2 linked regions of the Diceros bicornis minor genome follow. The protein of the gene in region 1 interacts with the protein of each later gene in a biochemical or structural test. Links are inferred from orthologs where the notes say so. Each region holds a gene or a part of one and is shown in the gene's direction. Other genes may lie near its edges.

Region 1 (14,976 bases):
AAATATAGGCAGTACACTCTTTGACATTGGTCTTAGCAGCATCTTTTTGAATACCATGTCTACTCATGCAAGGGAAACAAAAGAAAAAATAACCAAATGGGACTACATCAGACTAAAAATCTTCTGCAAAGCAAAGGAAACCATGAACAAACTGAAAAGACAACCCACCTACTGGGAAAAAATATTTGCAAATCATATATCCTACAAGGGGTTAATTTCCAAAATATATAAAGAACTCATACAACTCAACAACAATAAAACAAACAACCCAATCAAAAAATGGGCATTGGATATGAACAGACATTTTTCCAAAAAAGATGTACAGAGGTCCAAGAAGCACATGAAAAGATGTTCAACATCACTAATTATTAGGGAAATGTAAATCAAAACTACAATGAGATATCACCTTACACCTGTCAGAATGGCTATAATTAACAAGACAAAAAATAACAAATGTTGGTGAGGATGTGGAGAAAACGGAATCCTCATACATTGCTGGTGGGAATGTAACCTGGTGCAGCCACTATAGAAAACAGTATGGAGATTTTTCAACAAATTAAAAATAGAAATTCCATACAATCCAGCTATCCCACTACTGGGTATTTATCCAAAGAACATGAAATCAACCATACAAAGAGATTTATGCACCCCTACATCACTGAAGCACTATTCACGATAGCCAAGATGTAGGAGCAACCCAACTGCCCATCAACTGATGAATGGATAAAGATGTGGGGTATATATATACACACACACACACACACACACACAATGGAATACTACTCAGCCACAAAAATGACAAAATCGGCCCCTTTGCAACAACATGGATGGACCTTGAGGGTGTTATGTTAAGCAAAATAAGCCAGACTGAGAAAGACAAACACCATATGATTTCACTCATATGTGGAAGATAAACTAACACACAGATAAAGAGAAGAGATTAGTGGTTACCAGAGGGGAAGTGGGTGGGAGGAGTGGATGAAAGGGATAAAGGGGCACATATGTATGGTGACGGATGAAAACTAGACTATTGGTGGTGAGCACAATGCAGTCTAAACAGAAACTGATATATAATAATGTATACCTGAAATTACACAATGTTATAAACCAGTATGACCTCAATAAAATTGTTAAAGAAAAAAAAGGGGACAGGGAAGTGGGATATCGAGATTACTTCAAGGACAGCACCCTGCTCAACATCTCCATCCCAACCCTGCAAGGAGCCAATAGCTGGCATTTTCATGACGGGGCACCCGAACTACTTGCTTAAATGTTCTCTCTCGACCCATCCTCATGCACATTTTGGGTTTCATCAGAGGGAAAGGCAGGGAGAATGCGGGGGAGTGTCAGCAAGTGGGATATTATTCTCCTACCTGGGTAGGTCCAAGTCAAAGACTCCTGACCATCAGCTCTGGATGGCCCTTAAACTTCCCAGCACCTGACAGATGAGGAGCCTGGTGATGAATAAGGTACAGAGGTATGTGAGGGACACTGGGGAGCAGAGGGAGGGCAGGAAAGAAAGTTCAAGGGAGTACTTGGCTTGTTCAGACAGAGAAGAAGAGTTGGCAGAAGGAGAGTTAAAGGTTAAAACCTTCCACTGAGGTAGGGCCTGTGAAGAAGGGATGGAAACCCCTGATGGTTCAGGCCTCTTCGCCACATTCTTTCTGGGCTTGGCAGCTTCCACTCAGAGGTCAGTCAAGCTGGACACCCCTCCTCCCCAGGTTCCAGGAACCCCAAATGAGCGACAACTCTCCTCGAGAATGTGGGTTGAAGGAAGGTCCTTGGTGGTGGCCAAGCTTACCCACAAATGGCCACCACACCTTTTCCTGCTGGTTGCCACTGCTCAGAGAGCCTGTCCTGTTTGCCTCTCTCCTTGAATCTGGTTGGGGGACTGTGGCATGAGACTATTGGCAGCTGTGGTCCCAGTTACAGACCATAGTGGAATTCTACCTGGACCTCGCCTCAGGCTCTGCTTAAATAAGCCAAGCGGGTCAAAGAATTTAGCTTCTCAGCCTTCAAGAGATTCTCACCGATACACAGTGTGCTTCCATTTCTCCACGAAGCAGAGGGAAGAGGAGTTTCAGGGTGATGGAAAGAGTGAGACGTGGATGTCAAGGCAGTAGACTTGGTTTCTAGTCCCTGCTTTGCAGCTCACCAATCATAAACGTAGGTGGGTCACCTAAACTTGCTGAACCCTCTGGGTCTAAATCCCACTGAGGTCTGCAAGGGAGGATGCGTTACATGATCCACTGGGTACAGGAGGACAGTATCAAAGGCTTCCTTTTTGATTTGTTTTTTTGTCTTAAAAAAATTAAGCTTTAATATGTTTAATATACAGACTGACACCAGCACCCTCACTTGGTCCTCTTATCAGAAAGTCACGGGTCAGGTATGCTGGATGAGGTCTCTGTGTGTGAGGAAGGAGTGTCAGGGAAGTCAGTAAAAAGTTGCAAAAGTATCAACAACATCATTTGAAATATGAATTTACATTCATTAATGTTAATGAGGAATCTCACCCTAACTGTATAGTATGACGAGATATGAGCTAATGATAGAATTTTGAAAATCATATTCAAATTTTTTTTTTTGCCAGTAGAGTTTTACAATCAATCAAGTTTAGAGACCACTTCTTGGCTCTGGGATGTGTAGATGATACAAAACAACACAACTCCACTGTCATTTACTCCAGAGTAAACCCCGCTGGAAGTGGAGGTGGACACCAAAAACAACAGTTTTGACAATGGTGACATCTTTCACAACACAGGACAATGGAGGCAAACACAACAGAGAGGGGCATCCGTGCTTTGTAGTATGTTTATCTCAGGCTAGAGGCCAAAGGCAATGGAGAAGAGCTGTCAACAGCCACATCTTCTGGAGTTGGGGCCCCAGGGAAGAGTTGTTTAACGCATTCCTGGGCTGCTGACGGAGTGTCCTTCCTGTTCTTCTGGAGAAAGACACAGGCGTGCCCAGGATGAGGCTTGCAGGGCTTCTGTTCATTGGTATGAAGAAAGGAGATCATTGCCTAATCATCTTCCCTGGAGACTTTCCTTTGGGGAAGGGGGGCTTCTTTTGAAAACAGTCAGCTTTTCCCTACTGACCTCTTCAGCAGTGATGTGACATTAACTGCACCGTAATCAGCGCCCAGGGTACCTACCCCCATGCCGCAGAGCCTCTCCACTTACCTCCCTCCCTAGGCTCTCCCATAAGACGCTTTTCCCCAGAAGAGCAAAATAAGAATTCCCCAAGGGTTAGGGGTCACTTTATCTCCTACTGGAGTCATAGTTGTTGCAAAACTTACAGCCACGGCAATAGATGTAGAAAGAACCCCAAGCCTCTTGTTTATTCCATGGATCTCTATGGTTGGAGTTGGGGCTGGAAGAGTCATCATTGTTGCTGGGGTTTGGATGGGAGCCCAGCAAATACCTGGGAGCCTAGGAGAGCTCTGGAGCTGCTTCTGCTTAGAGGTGGAGGGGGGAGTCTACACCTTCCTTTGTCTGGCCCCTAGGCTCTGCTTTACCATGCCTGCAGACGCTGTGTGTGGGCCAGCAGGCTGGCAGCCTAGGGCTCGAGGATGTGGGAGCAGGTGGGAAAGACAAGTGCCAAAAGCCCCGAGGAGGGAGACATGAGCTGGGCCACCGGGAATGGAGGCCTGGAGCCAGGCCGATTTGGATTGAAAAACCGGCGGTGCCCTACTCTTTCTGGGGCAGGCTGAGTCTGTGGATATTCACTTCTTATGGCCTTGCACACAACTCTCCTAGGGCTGTCTCGTTCTTGAGAAGTCAGGATTTCTGAGATGCCATGAAGCATCCTGAGGCTGAAAGAATCCCCCCAAGCTGGTGAATACAGAGCATGGTAAGATAACAGCTGAGTTAAGGCCACACAGGCAAACATTGAGTGGACACATACTGCCTCAGTGACCAACCCTGGCCTTGCCGCCTTGGAGGCAGGATCCTCCAAAGCCAGGGAGCCACTACGGGGTTCTGAGGGTGCTCTGTGTAAGTGAGGCTGGTCTCTCGAAGGCCTGTCTGGGAATCTCATGTTGCAGGTTCTAATTGAGAGGATTCCCACGGTGAGAGGGACTTTTTCAAACTTCGGGTCACAACCCATTGTGAGTTGTGAAATCAACTTGGTGGATCCCCAAAAGAAAGATGGAAGGAAGGGAGGGAGGGAGGAAAGAAGGAAGGAAGGAAGGAAGGAAGGAAGGAAGGAAGGAAGGAAGGAAGGAAGGAAGGAAGGAAGGAAGGAAGGAGGAGACAAAATAAAAAACCTCACAGGGGCCGGCCCGGTGGCGCAAGCGGTTAGGTGCGCGCGCTCCGCTGCGGCGGCCCGGGGTTCGCTGGTTCGGATCCCGGGCGCGCACCGACGCACTGCTTGGTAAGCCATGCTGTGGCGGCGTCCCATATAAAGTGGAGGAAGATGGGCACGGATGTTAGCCCAGGGCCGTCTTCCTCAGCAAAAAAAGAGGAGGATTGGCGGATGTTAGCTCAGGGCTGATCTCCTCACAAAAAAAAAAATAAATAAAAAAAATAAAATAAAATAAAAAACCTCACAGAGCATTTCTTGTTTCATAAAATTTATATACATGCATGGTATACGAGATCATGATAAAAACTTATTTCTTACTATGGGTTACAGTTAAAAATTTGAAAAACATTATTCTAGGAAGACCCTTTTGTTTAGGTTGATTTCATTGCTTATAGTTTTTTCCATTCATTCATTCCACTTTCACCATCTGGAACATAAGCAGAGAGAACAGTCCTAACAGGGGTTAGAAAAGATAGATAAGTTAACCTTTCCGGACTTAATATTTTTTTAATCTCTAAAACAAGGGAACTGACTGAGAGGACGGCCTGGTGGCTTCTGTCTCTATGAATCCATGACTCTGTGTCTCTCAGAATGTTCTTTGGGAGTTTGCTGAATTAGAGTCTTCCCTTCATTCCCACCATGCCCATAACCATAAAATATTTAAGGAGAAAAAAAGGCCCTAAAAAAGGGAAAAGCAAACAGTTAGATGGGAGTGCTCCAGAGAGAGCTCAAAGGGCACCTTTTTACCTGGAGAGCAGCCTCTGGAGAGCTTATAAACCTCTGTCCATGGGGACAGGGTCTCCGGGAACCTCACAGGGACAAGGTGATCCACTCCAGCTCTGGCACCATGGCAAGAGGTTCTGAGGGTGCCAGCCAGCCTTGAGGACAGTGACCAGGCTGCAGAAAAGAGGAGCTCATCTGCTAAGGATAAGGTGCAGCCCTGTGGCCTGACTGCAGGCCTGCCCAGGCCACCCGCAGGCACCCAGAGCCTGGTAGAGAGGCTGAGAAGCCAGACTCTGCCTTTCCCCAGATTTTGTGAAATGAAGTGCACAGGGGTGGACTCAGCCTGGCATCTCTGGAATCTCTCCTCCTAGGGAGGTCACACCTGGAAGGGCTCTTTTGTTTCTGCACAGACTGTTGAGTCTATAGCATGGTATCCTACACACCGCAAGCGCCTAGTAGATATTCCCTGATATAATTTTTCAGAGATGAATACTGACAAAAAACACAATCTGAACATCCTATAAGGACCACCACCCCTCCCAGGGACAAGTGAGAAAACAAGAACTGTTAACTTCAGGGAAAAGAAAGAGAAGATGAGTGTTTCCAGAGGTTCTGGTACATGTGTCCTGCAGCAGTCAAGCTAGAGGAGTTGAAAGCTATTAATTCTGTAGCACAGGACTGCTGCCTGTCATCAAAGTCTTCACAAGAACAGAATATGGATAGCAACCTCCCTTCCCAGTCCCTGGCTAGGGAGAAGCAAGATCAGGAGACAGGGAGTAATAACAACAAAAGCGGGAGAAGTGAATCTCATGTATTCCTGCTTCTCTACTTTCACAAAATTAAAATTCTTCCTAAGAATAAAGCTGAAGTGAAAAATCTACCTTTGTTCAATATAAATACAAGATGATTCATTATTAGGTGACAAACCAAGCAATATAGACAACACATGCTACAAAGACCAGAGAGTTGACAGGTCATTTTGGCCTGGAGATGTGGTGAGAGGCCTGATGTGATAGACAGGGCCTGAAAGAGAACAGGGTCTGGAGAGACAGAGGAGAGAGAGCAGTTCATCTTCCCCTCAGGTACTGGGGGAAGATGAACAGAACTTGGTTAAGGACACAGGGATGGGGCTGATGACAGCATGTGCTAGGGGCTGTAATGAAACCTATATCCTGCAAATCTGCCAAATCCAGAACCTCTGAGTTTTCCAAAGCTTGCTTACCTAGATTGTGGTCCAACAGGTGAAAAGCCCAAAGAAATATTTTTTGGGGGGGAGGCAGCATGGAACAGTGGAAAGTGCAGAGAGAAGTCCTGGGCTCAAGTGGCTCTGTCACTCTCCCGCCGTAAGAACTTCAACAACTCTGTACATCAGTGGTACAATGAGGAGAGTATTTTCTACTCCGTCTGACTCAAAAGGTCATGATGGACATCAAATGGAGAGCTGTGAAAAGACACTAACAGTCAGTTACCATGGAATAGTTAGTACTCATCCGCTATGACTTTTTTTTTTTTTTTTTGCTGAGGAAGATTAGCCCTGAGCTAACATCCGTGCCCACCTTCCTCTATTTTATATATGGGACGCCAACACAGCATGTCTTAATCAGCGGTGCATAGGTCCACACCCGAGGTTCTGAACCTGCAAACCCCAGGCTGCCGAAGCAGAGCATGGGAACTTCACTACAGCACCGGGCCGGCCCCCTCTACTACTTTTTGATAAGGTTTATTTTTAAGATGCCTGGGTCACCCATCTGGCCAATTAAGCACCACAAAAGTGGCTCCTGAGTGATCAACCTCTTACAGAGGCTCATGGAACTTCCTGAGAATGTCCCGAGGTGTTGACTGCTAGAGATTTCCTCTTATACTTTTTTTGCCATGAGAATCACTGCTAGCTTTCCCGTGATGCTTTGGGCAAGGGGATTTTTTTCTTTTACTTTCATTACAAGCAGAGAATCCATCCATCAGACAGACAGAACCTCCAAAGGGGCACGTCCTTCATCTGTTGCTCAGAATAGATGGTCCATTCCCAAGTTCAATCAAACAATCTGTGTCTCTTCTATTTTTCTTAAACCTTTCCAGAGAGACAGTTTCCACACTACTCCCTTAATGAACTGTTTCAGTGGTTAACACACTTCACTGTTTGAAGCTTCTGCCTTCTGTTTAGCTTCAGTCCATTTCTCTTGGTCCGATTATTGAGAGTTTGAGAGGGACTGGTTATCAGACAGTCTAGCATAACTGTTTCAGAGGCCAGGGCACCAGCGGACTTGCTGGGCTCTAGTACTGTCCTTCATTGAATGGCTGTGTAATGTTGGGCAAATCACTTAACCTCTCTATGCCTCAATTTCCCCCTATTTAGCTTGTCCCTCTGAGCCATGGTTTCCTCTTCTGTAAAAAGTGAATGGCAATATCTTCCCTGCCTAAAGGAGGTCACCAATGCTGGATGACCTTGTGGGCATCTCCATTGTAGAACATTATGTTGTAAGCACTGTTTAAAACTTATACATTCTCCTACTGGACAATGAGGTGGAAGAAGGAGGGAACCATGTCTTTTTCATCTATCCTGTAGCATCTAGAGTGGTGCCTAGTACATTGCCATGGAAGCAATTGGAGTAGAGTAATTTTTAGCCAAAATTTTTTATGGCGAGTTTTCCGCATCCACCTACAATTCCAGGTCTCAGGATGTACTCCTTACCTCCCTCCTTTCTTCACACCCATGTCGGGTAGGGGGATGGGGGGGGCTGGGGACCAGGGCCTGGGGAAGTTGAGACTGTGCTCGCTTGGATGAGGTTCGCGACGCACCGGGAACGTGGTCAGCCACGATCGCGGCCGAGAGGACATCGGGCGGGGGCGATGACGCAACTTCAGACTCCGTTTTCCGTTTACTCTTTTATCCTAGCGTGTGGGGTCGGGCTGGGCTCCCTGGCGCTCTGTAGCATTAACACGGCGGCGAGTGGCGCCCGGGATTTCCCACGAGCGCGGAGGGAACCGTTGGTGTCCGCGACAGCCGCCCGCCACCCCAGCGCCCCCCAGACGACGGAGGAGTCCTGGCCGGGTCAGCCTAGGTGCGGGTGACACACCTGGAAGAGGCGTCCGCAGCAGGCTGGGTAGAACCACGGCAGCGGGGATGGGGTGTGGGGGTGGGGGATAGGAATGCATCCCGGATCAACGCAGGCAGAAGCATGGACCTGCACACACATAACCATGGAAAACTCTCATGCACGGAGGGCAGAAGCCTGCCTTGCCCTACGGACGGCAGTCGTGGAGGACCACACCGGGCAGAGCCTCCAGGCGACGGTGCAGTGGTTGATTCCAAGTCAAGATGGTTGCAGCGCGGCTGGAGCGCCGGGCAAGCTGGGACTGGACCTGGGGGCGGGGCCCAGGGAAGGGGCGGGACCAGGGGCGGGGCCTTGCAAGGGGCGGGGCCAGGTGCTGGGCTGTCTCTGCTTGTCAAAAGGCAGCAGCCGAGCCAGAGGCGCCAGCAGCGCGGAGCAGCGTGCCCACCCGCCAGACCAGGTGCGGACCCCGGAGCGGCGGGGAAGGGGGTCCCAGGCTCGGGATTGGGCCCGGGCTGGGGGCGTCGGGGATAGTGGGCCTGAGTGCCCGGGTGCAAACACTAGAATCTAAGTCGCAGGGGCAAACTTGGCGACTGAGATCCGGGCTGTCGTGCCATGAGGCTGGGGCACTGAGGGGACACCGAGGTCTGAGAAAGAGCTGAAGTTCGAGCCAGGCTGGCCAGGGGAGCAGCGACTTCCTCCGCGCTCAGGCAGCCTAACGCAGAAATGCTCCACTAGCACACTTCCCAGCACTTGGGCAACAAGAAGCATTTGTTTCCTTCCTCTGTCGGGGCGCCCTGGCATGGAGTGGAGGAAGAGAAAGGGAGAGATTGGCTGTCGATGGTGCTAAGATGTCCTAGGGGTGGAGTGTGTGTAGCCTTATTATTTCGTAGGACCCAAGGATGATCACTTGCAATGGTAGAGTTGGATCTTTTAAGTAGAGCTTTTTTCTTTTTTTTTTTTTTTTAACCACTAATGATTTTAGACCTAGTTGGCCCTAGTGCACTGGATTTATTTTTTCAGGAGAGCCTGTCCCTAGATGTCCAGAGGAACTCAGGGGCAAGCATCTAAGCAAGGAGGGGCTCAGGGAGTAAGTTCTGTTTGGGGAGTGAGGGACCCCACCTTTGTGGGTGGAGGGTGAGGAGGATTCAGGGGAAGTATCTAGGAGGGAACAGCATGCTGTCTCGAGGGAGCAGTGGACATTGGCCCCCCTCCCCCCATGGACCACTGAGGCTGAGACCCAGGCTGCCTGGGCTGGGACAGCCCTGGGTCTCTGAGCCCGGGCCCTTCCCGCATCTCCTCCTCCTCCTTCTCCACCTCCTCTTCCTCCTCCTCCATGTGGTGAGTGAGTCAGCCTCCTGTCTGGGCTCAGTTGCAGCCAGAGGGGCCAGAGCCCAGGCAAGCAGTTGGGCAGGCATTTTCTGAGCTTTGCAGAAGCTCTCCTGGGCAGAGTTCAGCTCTGCTTCTGCTCCCTGCTGGAAGGCCGTTTTCCTCGTGGCTGGTGTGGCCACTCCTGAAGGGGACACCCAACATGGCAATGATAATGGGATGGCTATGGTATGATTCCAGAAGAGGTTGAGTGTGAAGGGATTATGGCTTTGTGGTAAATCCACATCTCTTATCCTTCTCCTAAGATCAGGAGGGGCATCCCAGCACTGCAGATTTTCCAGCCCCTCATTCCATTTCTGCCGAGTGATCTTGTTAGCAGCCGACGTCTGTTAGTGAGGTGGCTGTGCACAAGAAATCGGGAAGGTTCTGGGACTAGGGAAGCCATGGTGTTGGCAAAGAAGGTTTTTAACTCAGGCTAGGAAGTGGGGGTGGTTTGCTAAGGCGGGAATGGATTATCTGGACCCCAGATCCTCAACTCTATGAACTGAGAGTGTTTTGTGCTGGGGGACGTTCCTCAATCGGTCCCTGTCCAAGTGCTGGAGGGGGTTGTGGGTCCTTCTGAAATGGTGTCAGGACTGATGTGCAGCCAGACCAGGAGGTAGTAAGACTGCAAATTTTTCTCTGGCCTTTGTTTTGGGTGCTTCAGATCCTTGAGCAGCAATAGGAGCCCCAGAGCTGATTGCCCCCTACTCAGTGGCCTCTCTGGACCTATTTGAGAAGAATCCACAACCAGGCTGTGGAGCTGACTCAAACTGTAAAAAGCTGGGGAATTCACAGTCTGTGCCCTGGCTGGGTCCCATGGCTTTGGTTTGGCTGGTCCCTGGTCAGCCACAACTTGGACCCTTTCCAGGGTAAAGGAAGAACTGGAGAGTGGGATAAGGAAGAGAGTTAGGAAGCTTTCTCGACCCCTCTCAGTTCTTCAGCTAAGGTAGTCACTCGTCATTTGTATAAATATTGTGGAGGGCCGGCCCCGTGGCTTAGTGGTTAAGTGCGCGTGCTCCGCTACTGGCGGCCCGGGTTCGGATCCCGGGCACGCACCGACGCACTGCTTCTCTGGCCATGCTGAGGCCGCATCCCACATACAGCAACTAGAAGGATGTGCAACCATGACATACAACTGTCTACTGGGGTTTTGGGGAAACAGAAAAGGAGGAGGATTGGCAATAGATGTTAGCTCAGAGCCAGTCTTCCTCAGCAAAAAGAGGAGGATTAGCATGGATGTTAGCTCAGGGCTGACCTTCCTCACACACAAAAAAAAATTGTGGAAAGTCTGGTGCTGTTTGGGGTGCCTTGGTGATTTGTGTTTATGGTTTCTCAGTCTTCTCCCCTTACTCAACCTCAGACTGATCCTCTTTTTAGAACTAAGTCCTGGAGGAAGCACCAAGAGGACCTCTTGGACCCCCACCCTCCACTCTCAGAACAAATAGCCAGTGTGCAAAACCAATGTCTTCCATGTTTGGAGGAAGGCCTGGGGCCTAGTGGGCCAGACCAAGTGGCTATCCAAGACAGGACAGGGAGTCCCAGTCGTTCAGTTCTTTACCCCACATCCTATGGGGGCAGCGACCTCCTGGTCAAGAGCTGCCTCTGGAACCTCTGCTAGAAACCTGCCGTGGCCTAGTCGGGTTCTAGTGGCTGGAGAGTCAGAGTCAGGGGCACTGGAGACTCTGAGGTAGGACGGCATGCCGGTTTGTTGCTGGACAGGATGATTCTAGGACTCCAGCTTTCCATTTGTAGCTGCTGCAAGTCTGTTTTGGAAGCAGGAAGAGGGAAGTAAGGAAATAATGGGATTTGATTAGGAGCGTCTTGTATGCCCAGCATGGTGCTCGGCCCTCCGAGGGATGACAGGAAGCAGAACCCACGAGACCAGACCTCTTCCCCTGAGACGGTCTGAACCCCAGGGTGGGCAGCACTCTCGGGCTCTCTCTCCATTACTGTCTGGTTCTGAGAGGATCTAGCTGGACACAGCTGCTGGCTGTGGCTCTGGACCTTCAGGGCGTTGTTTTTAGTTATGCTTTCCTCTGATTCCTCCGTGCACGTCTCCTGTGTCAGTGCCCTCCTAGATGGGCTAGAGACAGTGACCATCTAATTTATTGTCCAAACTGGGATACTTTTGAGAGTGAAAGGGGACGCTATTTATAGTTATGTGGGGACATTAGAGATAAACCAAAACTGTCCAGAGCAAACTGGAACATTCAGTCATTCTAGTGAACACCACTCCAAACCCAGTGGAGGCCACAGTGATGAAGAGAAGATGGGTGGGTGTGGGTTTAATGAGGAGAAGAAGATGGGGGTAGTGCTTAATGATGAGGGGAAGATGGGGGTTGCTTCATTCTGAGGGCAGCCTCAACACCCCAGCCTGCTCCCTGGGGTGCAGCCAATTGCAGTCTTATCCTTGAGGGCAGCGCTGCTCCCAGCCACTCTCTCCCAGGACCCAGCCTACTGCTCGTGCGACTTCCCTTCACCCTTGACTAGTGACTGGCCTCGCCTTTGGTTTTCCTGCCCCACCCGTACCTCAGACAGGGACAGGAAGGCCTGCCAGCTCCCCTTCAGCTGCCCCTAGGGGAATTGGGGTTCATACTGGAGCCAAGACATAATCTCATGCTTCCTCTTCCCTCTTCCCCATATCTGCAGCCTCTTCATTTTGTCTGTCCAGCTTCCAGACCTCTGGGGGCCACACCATCCCCCAAGAAAGTCCAGCTCTAAAGCAGGTAAACAACCAGGAAGGGCAAGGTAGTCAAACCTCGCCCATGTGGGAAAAGGGCACAGGTCACTTGTAATCGGGTTCCTGGGAAATGTTAAGCAAAGTGGAGGTCAGAGCCAGAGAGAAGCTTCTTAGCAGCAGATGGGGTCAGTTCCTTTGGACACTGGAGTCTGACTCTCCAGTCTGGTCGGACTATTGGGGAAATGGTCCAGGGTGGGGACAGACTGTTCTTGCTCAACCCAAGCTATAGGCGTTGGTGGCAGCAACTGCATCCTGCCGTGGTGACGTGTGGAAGAGAAACTGCCCCCCTTCTGAATCCTTGGTCTTCTTGGTCCAGATGCTCGGGGCAGGCTCCCTGGAGAGTCCCCAGAGGTCGGGTGTGTGAGTGATTGGGGTGTTGGGCGTGGTGAGGTGGAATCTTCTAATGACTTCGTAATGACTCTGTCTGCTGTGGCAGGAAGGAAATCATTCTCATCAGCAACAAATGAAAAGGGCAGGTGAAGCCTTCTTGGGAAGTCTCGCCCTTTGAGGTAACTTGTGGGGAGGGGGAAGGGGAGAGACCCCCTGGGCTGGCAGGGGTAGGAGGAGGTGGCTGGTCGGTAAATGGCGGGAGCAAGAGGTAGAAGCAGCAGGCACTTGGGGAGTCTGAGTGTGTGTCATGCTTTTGCAAACCTGCCCTGCAGGTCCCACGCCAAGGAATAGACCAAGCAGTGTTCCCAGAATCGGATACCACACAAAGTCCCCATTCTGCACAGGGAGAGTCTTGGTCCTGAGCAGGGCGTGGGCAGCTGCACCAGCGGGAAAGTGGAGTTTGGGCAGGACCCGGCAGCCAGTTCCTGGGAAGCTGCTGCCTCTCACTGGCCTCCTGATGACAGATTGAAGCTTTGAGGTGTTATGCAAGATGTGACATTCCAGGCACTGTGGGGCACCCAGGAGGCCCAAGGCTTTGCTGGTGACACACCCAGTGTGTGCCACCTGCTGGCACTGGAGTTGTAGCTCCAGGAACAGCTACTCACTGAATGCTCAGCTCAGTTATACCAGGTGCCGTGCTGAGTACATGGCCCACGTGGCCACCCAGACCTGCCACATCCTGGTGAGATGGGAACCACTGTTATGTTCCTTTTACAGATGGGAAACTGAGGCTCAGTGAGGTTTGAGCAACGTGCTAAGGTGACACAGCTGGCGAGTGGGAGAGTCAAGACTTTCGCTTGGGTCTGTCTTAACCTCTGTGGAACTCTACCACGTCTGCATTCATGGGCATTCACGGGTGGCCACAGGGCGTTTAGGGCCATGACTTGCACACAATTTTTGTTGTTGTTAGTGCCATCTAGTCAATTCCAACTCCCGGCGACTCTGTGTACAGCAGAGCAGAACCCTGTGCTGTATTTTTGCTCCGTCCTCTCACCTTCTGGCGCTGTATCAGACAATGCTCCACTGCTATTCATAGGGTTTTCATGGCCCCTTTTTTCAGAAGTACATGGCCAGGTCCTTCTTCCTAGTCTGTCTTAATCTGGAAGCTCCACTGAAACCTGTCCACCATGGGTGGCCCTGCTGGTATTTAAAATCCTGGTGGCACAGCTTTCAGCATCAGAGCAACATGCAGTCGCCACAGTATGACAACCGACAGACAGATAGTGTGGTTCCCTGACCGGGGAAGAAACCCCGGCCGCAGTGGTGAGAGCGTGGAATCTCAACCACTAGACCATCAGGGCACATAATAGGCCTGCAGTAAACATTTGTGAGCAGCAGGGTTAGATTTGCTGACTAGTTTGAGCAAGTTGGCCTGGGAGCAAGCTCAGTTTGCCCACATGTGACTCCAGGGACAGTGGGCTCTCAGAAGAAGGCTCCCTCTGCCAGCACCCTCAGGCCTCAGTACCTCTCCGGCAGTCTGGGGTACCTTACTCAGGCAAAAATAGACAAGAACCTGAGAGAGGTAGCTCTGTGCAGAGAGATTGCATGGCATCAAAGAAGACTTGAATGGTCTGGAAGGCAAATAAGAAGCGCTCTTTCAGTTTCAAACAAGCCACTTTATTGATAACCTGCTATGCTAAGTGCACCAAGGAAGAAAAGCCATGGTCCCATTGGCCAACTGGAGCTATTCTCACCTTGCTTACGTATTCCCCTCCTGGCTACTCCTTCAGGAACCCTCCTGAGCCCAGGCCACCTGGAAGGAGAAATGGACTCGAGCCTCATCTGAGAGCTTCTGCCTGGTGCTGTGCTGATCACTTGTCTTCTTTAATCTTCCCAGCTTCTCTTTGGAGTAAGTTACTGTTGTTCTCTCCAGCACGTATATGGGTAAATCAAGGCTTAAAGAGATGCAGTAACCTGCCCATGGCAACAAAGCCAGCCCGTGACCACTGTTCCACACTGCTTGCTGGTGTTGGGCTTGACCGTACAAGCCACTCCAAGTGCCAGAGCCAAGAGACAGAGGTAGGAGGAGGAAACGCTTAGCTTGTTCCTCTGCTGACTTGTCCCTCAGCTGTGGTTCCCAGGGTTCCTTGGTATATGACTGAAATCTTAGGCAGTGCTGTTAGAAGCTGTGCTATCGGCCTGGTGGAATAGGAGAAACACGGGGTTCAAGTTAGACACACTTGGGTTCAAATCCTGGCTTTGTCACTTTTTAGCTTGTGACCTTGGGCAAGTTTCTTAATGTCTCTGAATCTCGGGTTCCTTATGTGTAAACTGGGGGTTTAGAGTTGCGTGAGGGTTAGAGATGATGTAAGTCAAATGCCTGGCACAAAGGAGGCCCTTGAAAAGCATGTGCAGACAGTCATTCAATAGATATAGACTTCATATCTAAAATGAACA
Region 2 (15,684 bases), on another chromosome or scaffold:
TGGAGCTGAAAGTCCAGACTTCCCTGGCTCTGCGAGCAGCCGCTCCTGCTCTCTGGGCCTTCGTTTCCTGTTGGTGCCACAAAGACCCAGAGCTAGAAGCTTGCTGAGTTGCTTTCTGTGGGGCTGGTGCCCCAGTGACTACCTGCGGGTCAGTCCTTGACTTCCCTGGGTAGCTGCCCTGATGGAGGTCCCTTTCTGCTAGGAGCCCTCCTCCTCCCTCCAGGTGATGCAGAGCTCCCCCTCCCTTGCAGAGTCAGGGTGCGCTGGCTGGAAGGCTGCGGAGCTTCTCCATGCAGGACCTGCGCTCCATCCCCGACACTGCTGCCCCCACCTACCGGGATCCCCTCTACCTGGAGGACCAGGTTCCCCGCTGCAGGCCACCTATCGGTGAGTGGGCAACTGTCCCAAGAGGAATGGCTTCCTCCATGCAAGCTGTGGCTTCCTGCAGGGCTAGAAGAAGGCCTGGCTGGCCCCAGGCCTTCAGACAGTGTAAATGCGCAGCTTAGCCTTCTGGCCTCCCTCACCTCCACACAGGGTACCGGGCAGTGGACCTCCAGGACAGTGACACGGAGGGTGAGTGTTGGTCGGATACAGAGGTAGTCCCTCAGCCGTCAACCCGGCCCCACCGAGAGAAGCCTCTGAGCCGCAGCCAGAGCCTGCGTGTGAGCAAGAAGAAGCCGCTGGTTCGGGAGGTCAGTGGCAAGGAAGACGCAAGGGGGGCGGCAGCCCTGGCACTTCAGCCCAGACCTCTCATGGTGTGCCTGCTCTCTCTCCCCCAGGGCACCTCACGCTCCCTAAAGGTCCGGACAAAGAAAAAGACCATGCCCTCAGACGTGGACAGCTAGGGTCTGCAGAGCCCGGCCCTCGTGCCCTGCAGGGTGCTGAGGGCTATTTGGAGGGGACCTCTGGCTGCATGTCTGGCCTGTCTGCACCAGCTGCCCAGGCTCTGCCCTCCCAGCTCCTGCTGTTGGTTCAGGCCCAGAGGCAGGTGCTGTCGGGGCCATGCACGGGGATGCACCCAAATGTACCAAAGCAGGCTGGGACCACGGTTCTATTTATTGCCTTTCTCATTCCTCTACCTTCCCAGGTGTGGGACCACAGCCCTCCCCAGACCCTGCAAATGAAACCAAAAGCCCACCCAGCTCTGTTCATTCCTTCCTGTCCTTCAAAGTACTTGACAGCCTTCTCCAAGGCCTTGTGTGTGTGTCCTGGTTGTATGTTTTGTGTTGGTGGATGAGGTCAGGTTTGTTCAGGTTTTGATAACTAAATACATGAAAGTGTTCTGTTTCTCCTGGTTTGTATTCCCAGTCCTCACAGCACACGTTATTTAACAGCCTGCTACAGGCCAGTCCCGGCCTAGGACCGGGGCTAAAGGGGCAGACTGCCAGAGGGGCCCAGTCTTCTGGGGGAGATTGCCATTGACAAAATAGTTGTGATGCAGCAAGTACTGTCATGGAAAGCTCTCGGAGACCTCTGAGAACACAGATGGGAGAGTCGGGGCCCAGCCCTGAGAGAGATCAGAGTCTAAGAAGACCGCAGTCAGGGGGAGATAGGATTGGACCTTGACGGGAAGTAGAAACCAGTGGGAGCGAAGGTGTGTAGGCAGCATGATAATCCTGTGGGGATTAGCTGGATCTGTGCTCAGATTAGGCCTGGGGAGCCCAATTTCCTCCATGTGCCTGAGGGGGGTCTCTAGGCGCTTTTGTGGGGGAGGAGCATTGAGTTCCTGTAAACACGCAAGTAACATTGGGAGCATTGCATGTCTGTGGAGTAGCCGCGAGAGGGCAGCAGCTGCCAGGGTGTGGGCTGCCCCCAGCTTCCAGGTCAAGGAGGGCGGGGCTTGGAGGCTGGCCAGAGCCGTGCCCTGTAGGGGCCTGGCCACTGGCTGGCTGGAGGGACGATGGGGAACTCTGACCCAGCCTCCAATGGCGCCCCCACCGTTGCTCCTCCCTGCTGCTCCTCCCTGCTGCTCGTGGTCATCGGTCCTCAGCCTGCCCCATCCATGAGTCTCCTCTGTTCTCCTGAGACCCAGGCTCTTGGCCTGGGCTGGCTCCACTCCATCCCCTCCTCTAATTCCTGGAGCAGTGGTGCCGGCTCTGCCCTCTCCTGCGCCTGGATGTGGTAACCGGGAGTGGCCTCAGGAGGGTGGATTAACTCCTGGTGTGGGGATTATCTGGGTTTCACTTGGGGGAGGCACTTAATCTGCCCCGGTGGTTTAGCTCCTCACATGTTGGTGGTCAATGACTTACTCTCTTGGCATTCCCTTGCATCCCTTATCTCTTCATTTATTCATTCGAAACATCCTTATTGAGTGTCCACCAGGTACCAGGCATGTTTCGAGATACTGGGGATGCAAAGTCTAGTAACGGCTGGCACCAAGAATGTGCTGCTCTAAGCCCCTGACACATATTAATTTAATCCTCACAACAATTTTGAGAGGTCTGTACTATTATCATCTCTATTTTACAAATGGGAAAACAGGCACCAGGAGGGCAAGTAATTTGCCTGAGGTCACACAGCTAGTAAGTGGCAGAATTAAGCTTTGAACCAGCCAGTCTGGCTTCAGAGTCAGTGTACTTAACCACTGTGCAGGACTAAAGTAAATGAGATGTTTCTTGCCTGGGAAGCAAGGAGAAAGAGACTAGCATGTATCAAACATAGGTTGTGTGCATGACCTTGTGCTGGGCATTTTACAGAGATAATTTCCTTGAATTATCCACAAAAAGCCTGTTAGGTAGGGTTATACCCATTTTACAGGTGGAAAAACTGAGACTCAGAGAAGTGCAGCAACTTGTCCACGGTTGTGCTGCCTGTGAGTCGGGGCCCTGTCTCCTGATGCAAGCCTGTCCAGAAGTTGCCTTGATAGAGGTGGAATGGCAAGATCCACAGCCCTGAACTGGGAGAACAAAACAGAGGAGCGTGTGATGAACAGGCAGAATGAAACAAAACTTCAAAGGAAGAGGGAGCTGGGGGGAGGCCTGAAGTTGTGGGGTGGTGAGGGAACTTCCATGGAAGCTAGGGCTTCCCCTGCCCTCATTCCCAGGGTCACTTGGCCCCAGGGCTGAACTGGTGATGCTTCCTCAGGTCCGTGATCTCCACCTCACCCCGCAGCTTCCTCACTGGCCCTGCTGCCCCTGCTGCCCCATAGCTCCTCCTTTGGCCACGCTGCTCCTATCTCTCTCCTGAGCACAGCACAATCATCCCAGCATCAGCCTCCAGGCCTTTGCTCCAGCCGTATGAGTCTCCTGCCCTCCAAACAGTCTTTCTTTCCAGGCCCGTTGGCCTTCCTTCAAGATCTGCTTTCTCTGAGCCTTCCCTGACTTGTCAACCCCTCCTCAAGCTCCTAAGGCTCCTGATCTCTGGCCTGCTCACCCTGTCCAGGGCACACAATGCCATGGGCTGTGCTGGTGTGCCCATCGCCCTTCCCTCCCCTCCCAACTGGCCTCCTCCGCAGGTGAATTGCTCCGTGTTCCCCACCTCATTAATCGCCACTATCTCGTGGCTTCATGCTGTTCCCCTGGCATGCTCTTCCTCCCCCACCCAACTGTTCTTTTCCTATTTGCCCTTTGAACCCCACTCAGACATCACTTCCCCCAGGAAGCCCTCCTGTAAGCACTCCCCTGCCCCCTTGCGTTGATTGCTCATCCAGACCACGCCGCCTCTGCCCCTGCACGGACCCATTTCTGCCTTGAGCATATGGTGTTTTCTCCCGTACTGCACTGTGACTGCATGAAGAACAGACTTGCACCTTATTCACTTGTATTCCAGCCTGGAACAAATGCTGGTTTAGCCAAAGTGAAACTGTAGTACATGTGTGGCTGGTGATGGCCCACTTGTTCTCTGACTTCTGAGCTCCAGCATCACCTCCTCCGTGAGGCTCCGCCGCCTTCCCCAGGGTGGGACTAGAAGCACCTTGTAATCATTCGTTAACCTGCCTGACTCCAGTAGTCACCCCACAGTGCCTGGCACAGGGCCTGACACCTAAGAGGGCTCGGTGACAGTTTGCTGGTAAAAGAACAAATCCATGAGTAAGTGTAAGCTCGTCAAGGCGGGGACGGCCTGTGCTTCCATCTTCGCGCCCTGCATCTCCTTGGTGCCCACCACAGGCGAATGACTGCTGCAGTCCTGTGGGTTGTGAGACATCCTGGGGCCAGAGGAGAAGGGGCAAGGAGAATTCCAAGTTCTGGGGCTGTTCTGGCCATGCATACACATGATCCTGGGACTGGGGCATTGGGTGTGGGCTGGGCTTCCCTCAGAGGCTGCCCTGTCTCTTTGAGAATCACTGAAACGTCTGCCCAGCACTGCCTCCCTCTGCATGGGGTTCCTGGCCCAGGCTTCATCCTCTCTGGCCTGACCCGTAGGGGAGGGTAGGCTGTGCTCTGGCCTGACTACAGCCTCCAACCTTCTGTTATCCTCCAGTGTGTCCACTGCGTCCCCAGGCAGGCTCAGGGCTGGACCTCCATTCCAACTGGCCTGGAGCACAGGTGTGCCAGGCTCCAGGCTGGGCACTGGGTAGGGAGATGAAGCAGCCTCGGCCAGCCCCCTTGGAATCACAGACCTCTGCTTGGCCTAGGTACCAGCCCCACTCAGGTTGTGGGCTCACTCTTCGGCCTCCGCACCCGCCTTGCCTGCTTCTGAGGGCCTCCTCCACTGCCCCCAGGTTCCCAGGTGCAGGTGGCCCTTCATTCTAGCCTTCCTTTTCCCTCCTCCCCACAGCCCACCATCCCTTGGACCTGTCAGGTGGCTCCTTTCTCTCCCTGCCTCTTTGGCCCCTCTCAGGCTGTGGCCCCTCCATATCCTGGCCTCCTCCACGTGCGCTGGCCCCATTGCTGTGTTTTTAGCTGCTATTCTCAGTGGTGGCTATGTAGTTAGCTTCTTGTTTAAACACGGCCCTGGCCCAGGCTGAGTTGGGGAGTCCTAGCTGGCACTGCCCCACCCTTGAGGAGGTTGAGGACATGAGCACTCAGGCTCTCATCCCTTGTCCCCCACCCACATCAGGGACTGCCATGCCAATAGCTGGGTAGGGGGCAGAATCCAGGCAGGAGGATGATGCCTGCTGCTCAGGAAATCCAGGGGGCCAGAGCTGGCGTTGTTAGGCAGAAGGTCCTGGGCCTGGGGCCTGGGTGGTTGGATCGCAGGGGAGGGGAGGTTGGGGGGTGGAGGAGGGGCACTGGGAAGGTTCCACTGAGAAGAGGAATTAGGTCAGGGACCTGGGTTGGGTGGGCGAGAGGGGAGGGGGCATCGGCTACAGAGCTTCCTCCTGGCTCCAGGAGCATCTCCACACTTCCCTTCCTCTCCCCCTCCCCCAGGGCCTAGGAGAATTCCCCTCAATACTCCCCCTCCCCCTTGCCCGCACCCCAGGCATTGCCACAAGGGTGGGGGGTGGGGTGGGGGGAGGCCAGCCTCAGCTGTCTGAAGGATGGAGGGGCTGTGGAAGCAGGGCTAGGTGCCCAGACGGCCGCGTGTGTGGGAGGGGATGTCCTCAGATGCCCTCCACCCGGCAGTCCCCGCTCTGACGTGGGTACCCCCCTCCTCCCTGCCTGGATTAGTGGCAGCTTGGCCTGACTCTCCGGGGCTCCTTCCCCCGCCCCCGCCTGCTGCCCTCCCTTGGGCAGGGGGCTGCTCCACCCGAGGGGCACAGTGCTTGCCCAGGTAAGGGGCTCTGGGGACAGTGCCAGGGCAGTGGCTCTGACTGCTGCTGCGCGTGTCAGCATGAATGTGTGTATTAGCGTGTGTGTGTCAGCGCTCCAGGAGTCGGGGTGGGGTCGAGGTGGGCCGGGGAAGGGCCCACGCGCGGCTGGGGGCGCTGGTCAGCTTGCTGGTCCACGAATCCAGCATTGTGTCCACGCATGTGTGGCTTTCCTTGTGTGTTTGTCTTTCGTGTGTCTCCTCAGCTTTGCTCTGTCTTCAGGCACAGAACAGCCGGCTACAAGGCTCAGTGGCCTGGGGAGCAGGATTGGGAGCTGGTTGAGGATGGAAAGGGGCTTCTTCCGCCCACCCACCCCCCATGGCCCCTGGGCATTTCAGAAGCCTGTCCTGAGATTCCTGGTCTAGGCCAGAGACTGTGACCTAACAAAGCAGACAGAGCAACTGGGGGTGGGGTGGGGGGAGGTGTCTGTCCTGCTCCCCCGGGACAGTCCCTATCCCCTTTGGGGATGATAGTGACAGGCCATCAGGGCCCCAGACAGCCCAGGCTCCTATCCTGCCCTGCCCAGCCTCATGTAGGCCCCAAGCGGCAGGAATCTACCCCCCTCCCCCACTCTCCCACAAGCTTCTGCTGCCAGAGGACACAGATGGGGGACCACAGGCACACCCCAGCCCCTCATCTGAACCCTAGAACTGGCCTGGGAGCAGAGGCTGGGGCTTAGGGGCTTGGGATTGCAGTCCGTGTTAGACCCTCCACAGTTATTTCCCCTGGCACATTCAGGTCCAGGCCACCCTCGGGGGAGCTGGGGGAGGAAGGGAGTGTTAATAACTCAGTCATGTAAACAACCCCTACCAGCCTGCCCTGCCACAGAACCGGCCTCTGTGGGGAGGCAAAGGGGCTGGGTGAATCTATGCCAACATGACCCAAGTCATGCCCAGTGCCAGCCCCTCAGGCCTCCTCTCCTCGGGACCCCTCCTCTTCCCCTCAACTGCCTCCTTTCCAGTCTCTTGGGAGGAAGGCTCCTCACGGCTCTTCATGGCTCCCCTCTCCAGGGATAGGGGTGTGACCTGGGACCAGGCTGGAGGCATCCGGGAACTCATCCCTTCGATGGGATGGGGCTGGGTGGGGTGGTGCTGCCTCTGCCCAGGTTTGGTGAAGGCAGGCCGAGGATGGCTTCCACACAGAGGCAGAGGAGTCGCGGGGTGGGAGGTGGGTGCCTGAGGGGAAGGGAAGTACCCGTTGGGCGTGTGGGTTTCTGTGTGTGTCTGAATCTGTCTGTGTGTGTTAGAATCTGTCTGTTTGTGTCTGTGCTGTGGAACCACCCCCGCAGAGGAGCCAGGATGCTTCCTCTGGTGGAGGGTGGAGGGTGCCCTGCTTTCCCATTTCCTCTCCTCCTCTCTGTCCCCTCCCAGGAGCCACTCCCATGGGCTCCTCTCCAATGTTGGGCCTGGAAGCACTGAGAACACAGGATGGGGCAGACCCCCAGAACATGGGGCTGGAGCAGGTGGTAGAGCTCATCAGGACCCACCTCCTTTCCAGACACTTGGTGAAACCGAGGCCCATAGAGCAGGGAGACTAGAGCCCAGGCCCTGCCAGAACTGCTAACACAGGACACTGCGCCACTGGGCCAGAGGGAGCTTGGGTGGGAACATAAACAGCAGCTTGGTCAGGTGAGGATGAGGCAGGGTAGACACCGGCTGGCCTGGTGTGCCCACGTGCCAGAGCTGGAGAGGACCAGGAGCGAGTGGTCCAGCAGGCCTGGGGCGGCTGGTGTGGGTCAGAGCGCCCATCACTGACTCGCGAGAACCCCACTGCCCCTGCCAGCTCTGGCACTGCCCCCTCCCAGGGGCCTCGCCCGAGCACCCCGAGGGGCACCCCGCCCCACCGTGGCCCAGTCCGGCCCCTCCCGCCCTTTGCTCCAATTCCCGGGCTTGGCACCTATAGTGGGGGTGCTGCCCGCCTGCCAGGCTCCGGGGCCGGGCCCACGGGAGGGTGGGGCTGCTGGGAAGCTGGCACGCTGCCCCGGGGGAGCCTCTCTCGGCAGGCGCCCGGGTGCCGTGGGGGGGAGGGGTGAACAAAGGGCTCATTCTCCCTGTGCGCAGCCGGTGGCATCGCCGGGGCGTTGGCGGAAGCCCCCAGGGCCCGGGAGGGGGCAGGCCCAGGCGGGGCCGCCGAATCACGGGCTCCTGTTTCCCGCAGGGTGCTGGAGGAGGAAACCGGCAGAGCAGCTTCCCCACTCTCAGTTGCGCGTCTGGCGATGGCGATCAGAGGTCCTGCTGCGCTCTCCGCCGCGCTCTCGCTCCATTAGACGCGCTGCGCCCTGCTGCGCGCTCGCCGGTGCCTCTCTCCTGGGTCCCGGGATCGGCCCCCCTTCCAGGCACAATCCCCTCCCCCGGCCCCTCGGCCTTTCCCCCTTCTCGGCCATCTCCAACCCGGGGCGCGCGTTCCCCCCGGCCCGGCTCCCTCTCTCCCTCCGGGGGCACCCGCTCCCCAGCCCCGGCCCGGCCCTCCCCGCGGCGCAGCACGGAGTCTCGGCGTCCCATGGCTCAACCCACGGCCTCGGCCCAGAAGCTGGTGCGGCCGATCCGCGCCGTGTGCCGCATCCTGCAGATCCCGGAGTCCGATCCCTCTAACCTGCGGTCCTAGAGCGCCCCCGCCGCCCCGGGGGAGAGAGCGCGCGAGTGCGCTGAGCAGAGAGCGGGAGAACGAGTCTTCCCCCGTCGGACGGAAGGCCCCGGAGCCGGTCCATGGGGAGCGGGCGCCCGCCGGCCACGACGACCGCCGCCGCCGGCGCCGCGCCCGTCCCGTGAAGCCCGGGTAAGCTCGGAGAGGGGGCGCAAGGGGCCTGCCTTTGGGGGACACTCGTAGCGGGCACTTTTGAGCCGACCCCGGGCCACACGCAGGGAGTGACTTCTCCGTGCTCCTCGGGCTGGGCCACACATCTGATAGTTAGGATGCCCACTGGGGCTGGATCGCGTTGGAGCGGTGGCCCCAGAAAACGCGAGCGCCCTGTATCACGGCTCCCTGAGCTCCCTAACCGCCCTTCTGGGGCTTCACCGAGCTGGCCCAGGGCGCCTCGCTGAGAGCGCTGCGGCTCTGGTGCCACCTGTCATCCTGGTACTTTGCACGCACGTTCAATTTTCCCTCCTTTGCCTCTCTCTGGAGCCCAGCCCGCTTTCCCCGCCTCCTTCCCTCCCCCGGCCAGGCTGCAGTTACCAGCGGCTGCCATTGGCCCTGGCACTGCCGGCTGGACTGGGGCAGCTTGACCCATCCCAGCGGAGGCCTCTTAATCACCTCTCCTTCCCTCGGGGGGCTGCGGTGGAGATCCCAGCTCCCAGCAGTTGTCCTGGGACTCGGCTTCAGAAGCCAAGAAACTGTAGAGCGCTGGGAAGAGGCCTGGGCTCTCCCCGGCTGCCCAGGTATAGGGAGAGAGACCAGCCAGCAGCCCTGCCTGGAGCCTCTCCCCAGTAACTCCAGCGTGCCCTGCCTGCACTTCCCACCCCTACACGCCTAGGTGGGGTGGAGGGGTGGCGGTGAGCAAGCAGTGCCCCAAAACCACAGACTGCAATGTGGGAAGAAGCCTCTGAGACTGCATATTTCCAGGGCTTATTTTACACTGAGGCCGTGGGGGGTGACGTGACTTGCCCAAGGTCACGTAGTGGGTGACGGAGTCAGAGCCAGGATCCAGCCTTCTTGTCTCCTCCTGCAGTGCCCTCCTCCAAGCTCATCTTTTGGGTTCTTGCCCCCTGTCCCTCCCCATGGCTTCTGATCAGGTTCCAGGCTCAGCGAGGCTGGAACATGTCATCCTAGAAATGGCAGTCTCTGCTGAGCCCAGGCGGGCTGTCAAGTCCCGGGCATTAGGGGGAAGAAGTGACTTCCCCACACTGGAGCATCCCACCCAGGCGGGTCCTTCAAGCTGCGTGTGAGCAGGCAGCATGGAGCCCAGCTGTGGGTTGGCAGTTGCCTTACTGGTTTGAGCCGCCTGGGTGCTGCCAGGGCGGTACCCACTCTGTACCAGGCAGTAGGCTGCTTGAGGCACGTGCCTAAGAAGCTCATGCTTTGGTGCTTATGCTCCAGGGACCTCCTCTGGGAGAGCCCCATGAGGGCAGGAGAGTGATGGAGAGTATGCCCAGCTTCCTGAAGGAGACCCCGGCCTGGGAGAAGACGGCCCCTGAGAACGGCATCGTGAGACAGGAGCTGGATACTCAGCTGCGAGAGAGCCTGCGCCGTGGGACGCTGTGCCTAGGAGAGCCCGCTCCCTTCTGGAGGGGGTTCCTGAGCACCCCAGGCTCCTGGCTTCCCCCTGGCTTCCCCCAGAGCCCCAAGGACACGATCCCACTGGTGGAGGGTGAAGGCCGCCAGAATAGGGAGAGGGAGGCCAGCTGGCCAGGTGGCAAGGAGGGGCTGCGCTGGAAGGAAGCTGTGCTCACCCATCCCCTGGCATTCTGCGGGTCCACGTCCCCACCTTGCTGTGGCCCCCTGCTTCCTGAGCATAGCGGTGGCCATCCCAAGAGTGACACTGTGGCCTTCCGGCCCTTGCACTGCCCCTTCCTTCTGGAGACCAAGATCCTGGAGCGAGCCCCCTTCTGGGTGCCCACCTGCCTACCACCCCACCTAGTGTCCAGCCTGCCACCAGAACGTCCATGTGACTGGCCTGTGGCTCCACACCCCTGGGTGTACTTGGGGGACCAGCCCAAAGTGCCCTCTGCTTTCAGCTTAGGAAGCAAGGTGAGTGTTGGAGCAGAGAAGGTACCTGGGGCTCAGGCCACGCAAGGTAGCTCAGCGGTCCTTGAGCAGCCCTGCCAGGGCTGCGCCACTCGGCCTGTCCATTCCGACGAAAAGATAAGGCAGCACCCAGTAGAGGAGCCTGTCAGCTCAGACAAAGTCAACCCCAGGCAGTTCCCCCCTGAGCAGCTCCATCTCACGAGGCCTTCCCTGCCTTCGGGCCTCTTCGGGCACTGACTCACCCATTGTCTGCCCAGGACAAGGCCCTGGGAACAGGGCCTCAGAACATGTGGTCTTGCCCTGAGGAGGGCAAACAGGGCCTTCCTTCCAGGAGTGGGATGTGCGGGTGGCCCCATGGTCTATGTCTACGGCACCTCCCCCAGAGGCGACCTTCATGCCAGGGATGAGATTTAAAATATTTAAAACCCAGTATGGTACAGGGCATCAGACAATCTGAATAGATTCTAGAGGCCCTTTGGCTGTGCTAGCCATTAGCCTTTTAGTTGCTGGATTGTGGGGAGGTCTGGGGGTCATTAGGGCAGTGAAGAGGCACTTAGGAGAGCAGTACTGATTAACCAGTATGTGAGTCCTTTGGTATTTTCACAACCCTTAAGGCCACACAGGTGCACACCTGCTGGTGGTCAGTTCTACTCATCCTTTTAAGCACTGGGAACCAAAATCAGCACTGGCTTAATCCCTTCTCCTCTCTGTAGGGCTTTTACCACAAGGATCCAAGCATTCTCAGGCTGGCAAAGGAGCCGTTGCCAACTACAGAAGCTGGGTTGTTGGGCTCAGCCCTTGGTGGGCATCTCCAGAGAACTGGGGAGGTGGAACGCCCTTCACTCCACCAGAGGGATGGAGAGACAGGAGTCGGCAGGCACCAGAATCTTTGCCCACTTCTCCTCGGGCATCCAGACACTGTTCCTGGGACCTCCTGGCCCACTTGTCCCCCAGGCCTGGTTCATACTCTTGGCAACATCTGGGCTGTCCCAGGGGGTGGGAAACTTGGGTACCAGCTGGGGCCGTCAGCCACATTAAAGTGCCCCTCTCCTGGGCCTCCTACCGCCCAAGTGGGCTGTTGCTCATCTTGCCCACCCGCTAGAGATGGAAGTCTTGGCTCTTGTGGGAAGTGCCAGGAGGGCCTGGAGGCAAGCACCAGTGGGCCCAGTGAATCCAGCGAGGAAGCAAACAAGGACCCTGGTCCCAGGGCCTGCCTGCCCAGCCATCACACCAAGCTGAAGAAGACATGGCTCACACGACACTCTGAGCAGTTTGGGTGCCCAGGCGGCTGCCCCGGGGATGAGGAGAGCCCAGCTGCCCAGCTGCGGGCCCTCAAGAGGGCAAGCAGCCCTGAGATCTGGGGAGCAGTGGGAAGCCCAGCCGCCAAGCGCCCACCTGACCGTTTCCCAGGCAGTACGGGGCAAGGGGCCAGAGGATGGCGGGAGGTGCTGGACTCGTCATTTGGGAACAAGGCGGAGGCAGAACAGCGTGATGACCACAGAGGTAAGGGGGCGGGGGAGGGGCTGCAGGGGGCCCTACGTGGGAGGGGGCGGCCAGGACTGGGGCTTTGCAGGGAGGTGGGGTCAGTAGGTCCATTATGAGTGGATCACACCCCATTGTCCAGTTCCCTCCCAGTTGTGATAGCTCTCTGGGAGTTCCTTAGCATCTACAGGCCAGAGCCTTCCACCAAGTGCCGTCTGTTTCCATTCACCTCCTCCGAAGCCATGATGTGTTGGCGGCAGTATAATGACATGGTTAAGAGCATGGGCTCTGAGTCAGAGTGCTGAGTCCTGACTTTGCTGATCGGTACTATGTGACCTCTGGCTGGTTACTTCACCTCTCTGGGCCTCAGTTTCTTCATAAGACTGCTGTGAAGATTAGATGATCTAATTCACCTAAAGGGCTTTGAAGGATTCCTGGCACTTAGTAAGCACTCAATAAACATTCACCTTTATGATTATTTGTGCCACAAATCCCCATCTGGGGGATTGCGTCTCCTGAAGGACCCTTTGTCCTGCCTCAGGAACAAAGAACTACTCTCTTGGCCAGCTGGGATCATGGAAATTCAGTTTGGACTCTGCCAATGTTAGGGCCTTGGGCACATCCTGGACCCCTCTGTTACACTGTGCCCTTCACGGAGGGCTCTGGCACTGCCGGCCCCAGCCTCCGTTCTTCAGGATCACCTCAGTTTCTTGGCCTCCTGGACTTCTGGGCCTGGATCAAGCCTCTCTCACTCTCTCTTTTTTTGTGTGTGAGGAAGATTAGCCCTGAGCTAATATCCGTTGCCAATCCTCCTCTTTTTTGCTGAGGAAGATTGGCCCTGGGCTAACATCCGTGCCCATCTTCCTCTACTTTATATGGGACACCACCACAGCGTGGCTTGATAAGCAGTGCGTCGGTGCGCGCCCGGGATCTGAAACCCCGCACCCTGGGCCGCCAAAGCGGAGCACGTGAACTTAACCACTATGCCACCAGGCTGGCCCCAGGCCTTTCCTGATGGCCTTGCCTAAGCACCCCTGCATGTGGCATGGCTCTGTTCACTCTCTCCCAGGCCCCTGCCTGTGCTGGGAAGTTGCTGGCCCCTCCGCCTTCTTGGGTTACTGCACCTGTGGCCTATGTTGAAACTGCCCAGCCTTCTCACCTTCCGGCACCTTCCGTCCACATTGGGATTGTCTCCTCATGCTGTCATGCAGCCAGCGGTGTCACAGCCCACGGTGGACCTCTCCAAAGTCTGCACTGGCTGGATCCTGCATTTGGGGCAGGCCCATTGCCCCACCTGCCCCAGCCTTGGGCTCAGCACCCAGACTCCTCCTCTCGGCCCAGCAGTCCCTGTCAGAGCACTGTCAGGCTCCCCACTCAGCCTTATTTACGAGGCTTCTAGCTGCCTGGTTCACTGTCGCTGGTTCCCAACCAGACATCATAGGCCAGGGCCTAGGGACTGGGCTGGCTCTGTGTGTGGGCGGGCTGGGTGCTAAGGCAGGGCCTGAGGTTCGCATAAGCCCAGGGAGCCCAGACTGCTGACCAGCTACATTGTCTTCTCAGGACCCCGAGATGGCAGGGCCAGCCTCCAGGACCCAGGGCTTCAGGATACACCTTGCTCGGCTCCCCCGGCAAGCATTGCTCAGTGCCAAAGCTGTGCTCAGGCAGCTGGAGAGGCAGGAGGGCTGGCCTGCCACTCCCAGCAAGTACCGAGGTGAGCCCTTGCCCCTGGATGCCTGCAGCATCCTCCTACTCAGGACTCCCTCCTCACCTTCCGCTGCCCTGTCTCCAGATTGCCTCTGGGAGGGGAGCAGCAGCAGGAGGAAGACTCGGCAGCCAGCTCTGAGGAGGGAGGAGGGTCTGGCCTGGAGGCCCGGCTCAGCACGGGCCTTGCCAAGCACCTGCTAAGTGGTTTGGGGGACCGATTGTGCCGCCTGCTGCGAAGGGAGCGGGAAGCCCTGGCCTGGGCACAGCGGGAAGGTGAGCAGGACCCACAGGGCATTCGGGACCCTGCGAGGGCCTGGTCCTGTGATCACTGTGCTTTCACGAGGAACATGGGCCAGCAGAGAGTGGGCCCTTCCCTCCCACCAGCACTGCCTGTCCAGCCGCCAACTCAAGAGAGCTCCTGCCCTGCTTTGCCCTTATTCTCGGCTAAGGCTCTTAGTCAACACACATTCTGAAGTTTCTGGCCCGGGTGGGGGATGTTGGGAAGGTGTAAACCTGGTCCAGCCCAACTCTCTAAGAGCTTTTGGGCTTGCTGGGGAAACAAGACTGAGTGCCAAGTGTCTCTAAGAGTTCTCGAGGGTAGAGGAGCTCCCTGCAAGTTTGTGCCATAAGGAAGGCGTCCAGGGTGGCGAGGCTCACGGCCCTAGGAGGCTGGTAGGGTTTGGGCTGAGGTTAGAGACTGGTGGAGCACAAGGCGTTTAGCTAGTCCCTCTGGCTCGAGGCTCTCCCTCCTGCGTCCGTTTCACAGTACCACACCTGAGGTCCTGTCACTCCCTGGGTGGGGGCCTGTTGGTAGCTCCCTCTTGTCCCAGAAAGTCCAGCCCCTTTCCCTTTCGTCAGCTGGCCCCGTCTCCCCTGCCACTCCCTCAGCCCAGATTCCCGGCACACCGCCCTCCTTCTCGGCTCACCTGAGCTTGTCTGTGCCCTCGGGCCTTGGCACTCTCGTTCCTACTGTCTGGAATGCCCTTCTCCTCCTGTTCTACCTGGTGAATGAAAACTTACTCATCACTCGGGGCCCATTTGTGCAGCTGCCCCAACATCCCCACCCTCATCCTTCCATCCCGTTCTCATTCTCCCACCCACCCCATGGTGCCATAATCATTGCCACGTTTATGGGTCCGTCTACTCCTTGGAATGTGAGCGCTGGGACAGCAAGTGCCAAGTCCTGACCAGTTCTGAATCCCCAGCACCCAGCCCGGGACAAGACAAGGTGTTTGTTGAACGAGTAAATGAATGTGTGTTCGCTGGCATCCTTCCACTTAACCAGTGAGAGTTTAGTCTGAAACTCTGGGTGAGGGAAGGAGTGGCCTCCTAAGGTTTCTTCTTTTGACATACAGAGTCCCCTGAAGAAGGACCACCGTGGGAGGGAGTGAGGGAGGGAGGTGGTGAAGGGATGTGTTGGAAGTGGTGTGGATTGGTAATTCAGGGCCATTGGGGACTCCCTGCGCAGGAACTGGGGAGATGAGGCCTGCACTGTCCCTGGGAGGGTTTGCTGCAGACGACGGTGCTGCCGGGAGGTTCTTTACAGGGACAGCCAAGTGAGTGAGGGTGTCTGTAGGGGGCCTGTCTCCCCTCTGGGGCAGCCCCTCGGTGGAAACTGCCCCTGCTTCTCCCCATCCCTGCCTGGAGGACTCCCACATGAGGTCATCAAAAGGGGCCTGTGGCTTGAGCCCCCTCTGACCCTGCTCTCTCCCACGGTCAGCAGGACAGGGGCCAGCCGGGACAGACGACAGCCCAGGCATTCCACGCTGCTGCAGCCGCTGCCACCACGGACTCTTCAACACCCACTGGAGATGCCCCCGCTGCAGCCACCGGCTGTGTGTGGCCTGTGGCCGCATGGCGGGTGCTGGGAGGGCCAGGGAGAGAGCAGGTGGGAAAGCATCTGGGAGCCGAAGGTGGCAGGGCAGGGACAGGGCCTGGGAAGGGCTGCTCTAAGGTTTGTGGCCGTTCCTTGGCTGCCTCTCCCCAGGAAAGCCTCCCTCCCCTCCTAGCCCCCACCTCAGCCACCACTGCTCAATGCCCCTTAGAGCAGATCTTTCCCTCTCCCTAGATCAGAGGCCACACCTGTGTCCTTACCCACCCTTAAAAGAAGTGGAGGGCCCACCCTA

Evidence for each region.
Region 2: the proteins of VDR (region 1) and HR form a complex in vitro, tested with the Homo sapiens proteins (2 studies listed by BioGRID and IntAct). The link is inferred for Diceros bicornis minor from reciprocal best matches to the Homo sapiens genes VDR and HR.

The regions. Positions count from the first base shown.
Region 1 is NC_080756.1:22,010,127-22,025,102, forward strand, and holds the start of VDR (vitamin D3 receptor), read left to right. Parts: upstream 1-8,496; 5' UTR 8,497-8,538; intron 8,539-14,976.
Region 2 is NC_080750.1:71,719,699-71,735,382, forward strand, and holds the start of HR (lysine-specific demethylase hairless), read left to right. Parts: upstream 1-8,403; 5' UTR 8,404-8,464; intron 8,465-9,724; 5' UTR 9,725-9,763; coding exon 9,764-10,375; intron 10,376-11,085; coding exon 11,086-11,875; intron 11,876-13,414; coding exon 13,415-13,565; intron 13,566-13,643; coding exon 13,644-13,831; intron 13,832-15,278; coding exon 15,279-15,446; intron 15,447-15,684. Other genes in the region: REEP4 (receptor expression-enhancing protein 4), read left to right, coding at 252-387, 535-692, 780-845; protein HRURF, read left to right, coding at 8,189-8,293. UniProt on the Homo sapiens protein: Histone demethylase that specifically demethylates both mono- and dimethylated 'Lys-9' of histone H3. May act as a transcription regulator controlling hair biology (via targeting of collagens), neural activity, and cell cycle.